Mus musculus: one gene and its partner. The protein of the gene in region 1 purifies or fractionates together with the protein of each later gene. This does not show direct contact. Links are inferred from orthologs where the notes say so. Each region holds a gene or a part of one and is shown on either strand. Other genes may lie near its edges.

Region 1 (4,208 bases):
TGAAAGGCTAGTACCTGTTACTGAACTGTTACTATTGAAATCCACAGTCTGAGAATACGGAGAAGAGAGTATCTCACTTACAAAAGAGCGAAGCTCAGAGAGTATATTAGATATAGTTGCATTGGGATCGTCGTATTCTTGAGGCTGCTCAAAGGCACGGCCAGTTTTGTTGATCAGCCACGCAGCAAGAGTGCAAAACATGTAGAACTGCTCGCCTGGGTTGGTAGGCAGAGCAAAGTAGTGTCTGTTTCAAAGGAAGGGAGGATTGGATGTGTAAGCTAAAGCAAGTCAACAGTGAGTAAGTCCAAAGTTGCTAATTGTCCCTCAAGCATCCTTCATTAATACTCTTGAACGATCTAGTGATTCACGGCACTCAGAACGTTTCGAGCTAGTATCAAGGGACAATCCCTACAGCACACAAAATATTTGACCAAAACCCCCTACAACCAGGGAATGGAAGGTAGTAATTTTTGAGAATGGCATGAAGGTTTGGTCAAAATCAATTAACTGGTCATGAGTAAGTTCCTCCGCCCCCCAAGTGGCAACTGTGGATTTAAAGAGACTAATAACTTAGCATGTTTTTACTGGTTGTAGCCTACCAGCTATGCCAAACATCTTAGCTACATATTCCAATCAACTCCTTAAAGTGCTGCCAGGAGCGTCTTCCCTCAGTCCTGCACAACCATAACTTATGGGAATGGAACCCTACACAGGTACATTTCAGAGGTTCCCAACTTAGATGGTGCAGGGTTTCAGAAAGGAACAAGAACCTCCATGAGGTCCCCACACGTCACCACTGCTGCACTTTGCTAATTCCATTACTGTACTAGATATGTTCCCATGAGGGTAGATTTGTACAGAGCTAAGGAGGACATAAAAGGTACAACTAGCATCATCCAAAAGGTGAATCAGAGATCTGCTTTGTTTTCTCTATGTTGCTATCACTATTACATACATATATATATACACATATATATAATATGAATTTAAAGAGACTAATGACTTATGTTTTTAAATGTGTGTGTATGTATAAAACCAATTACATAAGAATCAGTGATCTATACTTCTATTTTCTAAACTTTTTCCATCCAGAAAGTATAAATGTTCAGGTACAGGTTTACAAGGAATTTACCCACCAATAACTGTTTATTCCTTATTATCACTCCTTGAGGCCAGAGGAAGGGACACTGACAGATACTGTGGGCCTGTGATGGGGATTCGGCAGCATGAAGGTATATCAGAATCACCTACAGATGTTTTATCTCCAGACCTTCTGAAAAGGCAGACCTGGACAAGAGCCTGACAACTTCTTCCTACATCCCCAGGTGATGTGGACGTGCTAGTCTGATGGTGACACCTTGACCTACTGGCTAGAATATCTCCACACAAATCCGTGGTACAAAGTGTCTTGCTCAAGCTTTGAGTTTCAGTACAGCAAGGCATTAATAAGAGCTCGTTAATAATATTACTATTAATAGTAAGTCCACTTTCCCTTTGTTTGACAGATAAATTTGAAAAACTTAACACTTTTATCCCCACCAAAAATGTTGGCCATCTATATTACTATGACCAATTTATTTTAAATAATAATCCCAATCTAGAAACTTCTATTATGGATCAGGATCAAGATGATCTTTCTTCTCTAATTTTTCTCCTTTTACAGACTAACTTGGCATTGTGGGCAGATTTTATACAAGAATTCTTCCAGACCTGTCTGGAAGAGGGTAAGAGCTTAAAACTGCCAAGAGAAATGATATGTGTCCCATTGATGGAAAAGAAAGTACGATAAATAACTCTTTAATTTCTTCTTACAGAATAAAACAAACACGGGATTTAGAGGGAAAAAAAAGCAATAGAACACAGTTATCACTAAGCTACCATGATTACAGGAGGGACTTTTGTCTATCACTCTTGACAACTATAGGCTCTGCCTTGGGGATATTCCAAACTTTCCCCACTACCGCAAGCGGGAACTTTAGGTCCTATATTGAGGGCCATTCCAAACACTTATTTCATTTGCCTTCTCCACTTCCCATTTTCTAAGAGTATTGTTGCAAAAGCACTAAGTCGTTTGAACCATAGTAATTAGCCCACAAGTTTACTTACTACATAACAAGTGCTGCTCAGAAATGTCCTAAGTATTCACAGTTGTTAGTTTACAAAGTCTAGCAAAGGAAAACATAAACTAGAAAGAGATCTAAATGATAAGGGCGCTCATCGCTAGAGATAGGTTTTTCTACCCTTTCTACTTTGGGTATTTTATTATATTTAAAACAAGATTTGTGTTTGGTAGACGGTGCGTGACTGTTTTGAAAAATGGGCAGACTGTCTTCCCCAGTCCTCCCTGCCATTACAAAACTTGTTTACTTTCTCCACAAAATGATCAAGTCTGAAAAACTACACCTTCCACAGTGCGGAAGTTTCCTTCCTGAGCACAGAAGCCAGAGGAAGGGATGTAAGGACCCCCGCGCGGGGTCTTCGCCTCACCTAAGGGGGAGCGTCCCCCTGGGGTCCAGCCAGCACCCGGCGCTGGGGGCAAGGCACGCACCTGGACGGGGGCTTCAGATTGCTCTTTCGGAGTAGCTCCTCCTCGTAGCGGAGCAGCTTCAGCTTCTCCACTAAGTCTTCCATCACCACGAACATGTGGTAGGCCGCTCCTGGCCCGCGCTCCACCACAGCCTCCCCTGCGCCTTCCCCGCGAGCCCGAGACACCCCATCGTCCAAGCCCGACGGCGGGATCACCGCGGCCGCGGCGGCCATCCCTGCTCAGACCCCCAGCGCCCGGCTGGGCTCCGGCCAGGATCTCTGCAGCCTTCGCCGCCCGCACCCCACAGACCGCACAGTCCCCACCGTTACCAGGCAACCGCAGGGCAGCCGGTCACCACGGCAACCAGACCCGCCTCCTTCGCTCCCAGCCGGCCTCTCTAAATTTTCACCAATCAAAGCTGGATTCTTACGTGACGTCACGCCATGCTGGTCCCTGGCCTAGGGGGTAGCTCCGCCCTATGGGCGTGGCGCATCGTCCCCCACCTCTTCCGCCTCTCCCGCGCGCCTTAAAGGCGTAGGGTCCCCAGCTATTTAGCGCTGCATGCTGAGTACAGCCAAGAGGAGCACAGGATCTGGTATTCTGCTCAGGGCTGCTGAATGAACAGACATCTGGTCATCGAGGTAGCAATTCAAAGGACTGAAACGAAGCAGAACAGAGTGTTGGAGGTTATGCTTGCTCAGTGATTCTTGTTTTATTTTCTCAAAGTGGGAAGTTGTGGTGAAACTCGCTGTCCTTAGGTTCACATTACCTCAGAAATTCCACCCGCAAGACTGCTAGTCTATTTCTTAACTTAATTGCTTATTAGATAGTGCTAGACTTACGAGTATATTCTAAATAAGACTTAAAGTCTTACAATGATCTTATCTCACTCCATTAGGAAAGCGGTTGCTTGGAAGAGGGCAGCTTGGGAAAAGATTTATACCACACACACATTGGCCTCAATCTGTTCCGAGCCCATGCAGATTTAAATTCTTGAGTACTAATGAAATCCCACAAAATATAGTATCTGGAAAGGAAGTGCTGCATTGTAGCACTTACATTTAGATAAGAACATTTCTGCTATTATGTCAGCACGTATTGACCTAGAAAACACATGGAGACATAACTGACCAGGGATGTGACTTATCCTTACAATAAAGTACTGCATCAGGCAATCTTTCTTGTAGTTAAAGATAAGAAGTGAAGCGAAGAGAAGTTGCCTAGCTACTTCTTAAGATAACTCAGAAGCAAGAGGTGTAACATTTGTCTGATTAACCCTGTGCCTGTTAAGGGGTCATCAACAGCTTATATCACACCCTAAATAATGTAGCAGGATCATATTTTTGACATAATTAAAATCTGAATCATATTTGTAAAAATCCTTGTGATAAAAGGAAGAGTTTTTCTTTCTAATCAGCCTTGTTTCTAATGCTAATAAAGGTATCCAAATGAAAAACATTGCTATTCATCAAATAAAAGACACACATAAAACTACTGATTTATGTAGAAAATAAAATGGAGATGAGAAATCCAAGGATAACTGGGTAATTGCACGCCTCACAGGTGGAGGTCAGAGGACAACCTTCTATATCAGTCCTCAACTACTACTTTGAGACAGACAGCTTTTCTGTAAACTTTTTTTAAATTTCTTTTGTTTTAATTAGGTATTTATTTCATTTAC
Region 2 (4,085 bases), on another chromosome or scaffold:
TACCATAACTGTGCAGTCCTCAGAGCCACTGGCAATGACATTGTCATTGTGTGGACACCAGGCGATGTCTAGCACAGGGGCAGTGTGGCCGCAGACCAGGGGCACGTTCTTGTCTACTCGTCCAGTCTGGGGGCACAACGGGGATTCTAATGGAGGCGATTTGACCTCTGAACCCAATCCAACCTCCCCACACACCCCTGCAGAGGGACGCAGAGGAAGGCTGTGGGGTCCCTGGGAGCACTGGGGTGGGGAGGACTTGGCATCGTCTAGTCCCAAGAAAGCTAGCACCAAATGAGACTCTGGCCAAGATCCTGGCCCTCTTTCTCAGTGTCATGTGTGGGTACCATGGACCCAGGGTGAGCATGGGGCTGTGGTCCCCAAGAGGAGAGTGTGAGAAGAGTGCTATAGGATGTGTCCTATAGATTTGGGCCTGGAGGTCTGTCTGATGCCTCTAGACAGCAGCAGAGGTTTGGAAATGGCCTCTTCCGAGAGCCAACTGCTTCCTGTGTAAGGAGCTGAGCAGGGTGCAGGCCCAGCTTCAACCCGACAACCACTTCCTCTTCTCTTCTGCTTCCATCGGCCCTTTTAAGGTAAAACTTGGGGCCTATCTCCCCTTCCTGTTTCACCCCCTGAGGAGTCCAGGAGTGAACTTCAGCTGAAGAACAGCAGGCTCAGAGGGGAGGAAAAAAAAGGGTTTTGCCTCGTCTCCACCAGGGCTTACGCTTGAAGGGTCCCCAAAGTCCTCGCCAGACCTGCAGCCTTATCCTTAGCAGAAAACCCCAAGCCAAGATTTGGGGGACCTGCCCCCCTTGTTTTGTCCCCAGAGAGCTTAAGTAGCAAATGGCCCTGTCCCATTTTACAGATATCAACACAGAACCCCAGGGAAGCTGGGTCACAGTCAGCTACTGAGGACCCCACAGTCTCCATGGACAGCAGAGTCCTCCCCAGGACCATTGAGGTTCCGGAAGCTCACCTTGCCTAGGGGTAGCACCAGGAAGGCCCCTCCCCCACTGGCCTCACAGATCAGAGCCATGAACTTGGGGTTGACAGCGCAGAAGCCACTGTCCCAAGTGGTTTGTGAGACGCGCACATCCTCATAGCACTGGTCAGCCTTGGCTGGCTGTCCAAACACGTGGCGGAATTTGCTGGAGCGAACCACCTGCCGGCTCATCCTGAAGGATACAGATTGTAAACTTTTCTTTGGGTCAATCCCAGCCGCACTTTGTCATCCCCAGAGCAACCCTTGGCCTGGCCTTGAGGGTTCCAGCATGGCGTCTGAGGCACCCTGACCATGACTGACAGCTTGCTTATCTCCCTGCTTACCCTCCCCAGTTTTTCTGTCAAATTCCCAGGCACTTCAAGCCACACCCTCAATCCTGCACCATCAGCCCCTACAACAGCCTGCTATGGTGTGGCTCCAAGGGTCTGGTTCTTGACTAAGACACAGTGCCTCCTTCCTAGTGGTCCAGACAGTCTGGAGATAGGTTCCCTCCTATCGAACTCTTCTAGATCCCACATCCCTCACACAGAGCTTCCTAAAGGCAGGGCAGGGCTTCTCCCTGGCCTTCCAGCTCAGGGATGGCACACAGAGGGATGCAAGCCAGCTTGCCTAGGAAGGGATGCAGTAGCAGGATGGCTTCCCCAGGTTTCTGGCTACAAGAAGCAGCAATGGCTTGGGTCCCAGCATCTCCCCAGACCTCTGCTCCTAACCTCCGCTCAGAAAAAAAGCAGATGTTCTTCTGAGCCATTTCTGCTTCCGTTAAACTACACTCAGGAGAGGCCCACCCTGACTTCCCTGAGGTCCGCTAAGATGGTTACCCACTGTGGCTAGGCAGCCAGCTAGTGAAGCCCAGGGGCTGCCTCTATCCTGTGCCCAATCCCTCCTCCTTCCTGCTCAGTAAAGGAACCTCGGCTGCGCTGTGGAAGGCATCCTGCCCAGAGCCTCTATCCACCTCCCCAGCCTCACCCATCTGCTCTGCCTTAATGGGGGACTCAGCCCCTTCGTGCTGGGACTCCAGTCCTCGCACACCCCGGTATCACCAAGGAGGCTCCCAGGTCTATTAAAAATAAAAGCAGGTGAAGTGCCTGAGTGAAGTCTCCAAGACAGGAAGGGGACACAAGACCCCAGTGAGCAGTCTGGATTTGGGAGAAGGAAAGCCCAATCCAAGGTAGGGGCGGAAGATGTGCCCCACCCGGCCTCCTCCCCCACCCAGGTACCAAGCCCGGAAACCACGGAAAGGGGAACTTAGTCTTGTTTTGCACTCAACCCCTTCCTGTCTCAAAGCTCAGGGCAGCTACTTGGCTCACCCCACCCTGCATCCCCCACCTTCAGAAGCTCCCTCCCCGGGGCATAGGTTCTGAGCCCAGCTACGGCCGCTCCCAGGAGCCCACCTCCATCTTGGTCACGATGGTCCTTAGCCCTCACCTTGGAGCACTCTGGGACCTACTTGCCCCTTCGAACTCCCTCGTCCTCGATCCTCCTGGCGGGGCTCACAAACCGGCTCTCTGTCCCCAGCCTGGTGGCTCTGACAGCTCGCCCGCCCCCACAGTCCCACAGTCCTGCCCCCACACTGGCGCTGGCCCCACAGGTGGCCCATGGCAGCGTTGCCTGGCCCTTGTGACCAGCCCTCCCCCGGCGCCCAGCCTCACCTGCTGCGGAGAGCTGAGCGTGACCCCTCCCAAGTAGAGGAGGAAGGAGAGAAGGATGGAGGAGCTGCAGGCTGGCCACCGAGGATGCTCTGTCAAGACAATGAATGAGCAGCGGCCGTGCGCCGGCCTCCTCCGGGTGGTAGCGCCCCTTTGGGCGGAGCTCATGGAGGCCCGGCCCTTCGCTCCAGGGCTGCAAGACTGGGACCGCTCCCCATGCTGTCAGCTCCAACCCCCGAACAGATGCTGACGCGAATCAACTCTTCTTTTAATGTCAGAACGCAAAAATATCCCGTTCCTTCATCCCTCCCCCAGCCGCCCGCTGCCTCCTCGAGGTCCTTTCCCTGGCACCGGAGAAAGCTTTAGAACGGCTTCAACCAGCTTGAGAGCCTTCTCTGCTACAGGAGGGACCTCTCCTGTCGTTACCCCAAATGGATTTCTGGGAGGCCTTGGGGGGGTCATTTCTCCTTTCTAGGGATTTAGGGCTTCAGCGGGGACACCCTTGTCCTCTGCTTCGTGGCATTGAGGCCCGGAAGAAGTAAAATAACTGGGCATTATGGAGCACCTGTTCTGTGCTGGGGCTATGGAGGCAAATGAGTAGTGCTCCCCCTCTAGAGAGCTCTCGGGCCATGAGAAGAGGGAGTCGGGAGTCCGTCTGACACAGTTTAAAAGCCACTGAGTACACACAGAAGTCTGATATCACACACAGCTGGGCTGTGGTCCATTCCTGTCCCTTGAGGGGAGTGGGTTGTCACGGTAGCAAGGGCAGAGGAAGAAAGGCCTTTGCTGGAACCATTGTTGTGACTCCTGGCTGTCACTCATTTGAGTGACCTTGGGCAGGTTAATTTAATCTCAGCCCCAGTTTCCTGTCTATAACAGTCTTACCTGCCTTCGTATGGAGATGGTCACTCCAAGGATAGCTGGATTTGCATCTACAGAGTGGCAGGTATTAATTAGTGTTGGGGTCTTACAGTCAGATATGGTGGCCCACACCTGTAAATCCATTACTACGGAGGCAGAGGCAGAAGGGTCAGTGAAACCAAGGCCAGCCTGGTCCACATGTAAGCTCCAGACCAAGGCTACATAGTGAGACCCTGTTTCAAAAACCCAAAAGATGTTGGTTCTTTTCATTATTGCCATTTACCAAAGCTTTGGGCTATCCTGGGAGGAAGAGGAAACACCACAAGTGGCTCTGGAGAAGGGTAGGGGGCTGAGGCGCAGTGTCAGCAAAGCTCAAGGACACAGGTGTGCTGACAGTCATCTGTAGTCAGGAAGCTGAGGCAGGAGGCCAGCCTGGGCTACATAGCAAGACCCAGTCAGAAGAAACTCTTCTTTAAGGTAGAAGTAGTTCGAAAGAACAGAAGGGGCTCCAGTTGTACTGATTAGCCGTGTGATCTTGGCCAAGAGGCCCCACCTCCCTGAACCTCAGTTTCTGTAGG

Evidence for each region. Proteins that work in one complex are often made in the same cells at the same time.
Region 2: the proteins of Ift57 (region 1) and Coro1a purify together in Homo sapiens (affinity purification with mass spectrometry; 3 studies listed by BioGRID and IntAct, counting the BioPlex papers as one, with this or other methods). This does not show direct contact. The link is inferred for Mus musculus from reciprocal best matches to the Homo sapiens genes IFT57 and CORO1A.

Annotation. Positions count from the first base shown.
Region 1 is NC_000082.6:49,697,890-49,702,097, reverse strand, and holds the start of Ift57 (intraflagellar transport protein 57 homolog), read right to left. Parts: upstream 2,805-4,208; 5' UTR 2,761-2,804; coding exon 2,549-2,760; intron 245-2,548; coding exon 82-244; intron 1-81. UniProt on the Homo sapiens protein: Required for the formation of cilia. Plays an indirect role in sonic hedgehog signaling, cilia being required for all activity of the hedgehog pathway.
Region 2 is NC_000073.6:126,702,003-126,706,087, forward strand, and holds the start of Coro1a (coronin-1A), read right to left. Parts: upstream 2,815-4,085; 5' UTR 2,650-2,814; exon of another isoform or gene 2,426-2,649; intron 2,219-2,425; exon of another isoform or gene 1,967-2,218; intron 1,194-1,966; exon of another isoform or gene 1,173-1,193; 5' UTR 1,172-1,172; coding exon 974-1,171; intron 127-973; coding exon 4-126; intron 1-3. UniProt on the Homo sapiens protein: May be a crucial component of the cytoskeleton of highly motile cells, functioning both in the invagination of large pieces of plasma membrane, as well as in forming protrusions of the plasma membrane involved in cell locomotion.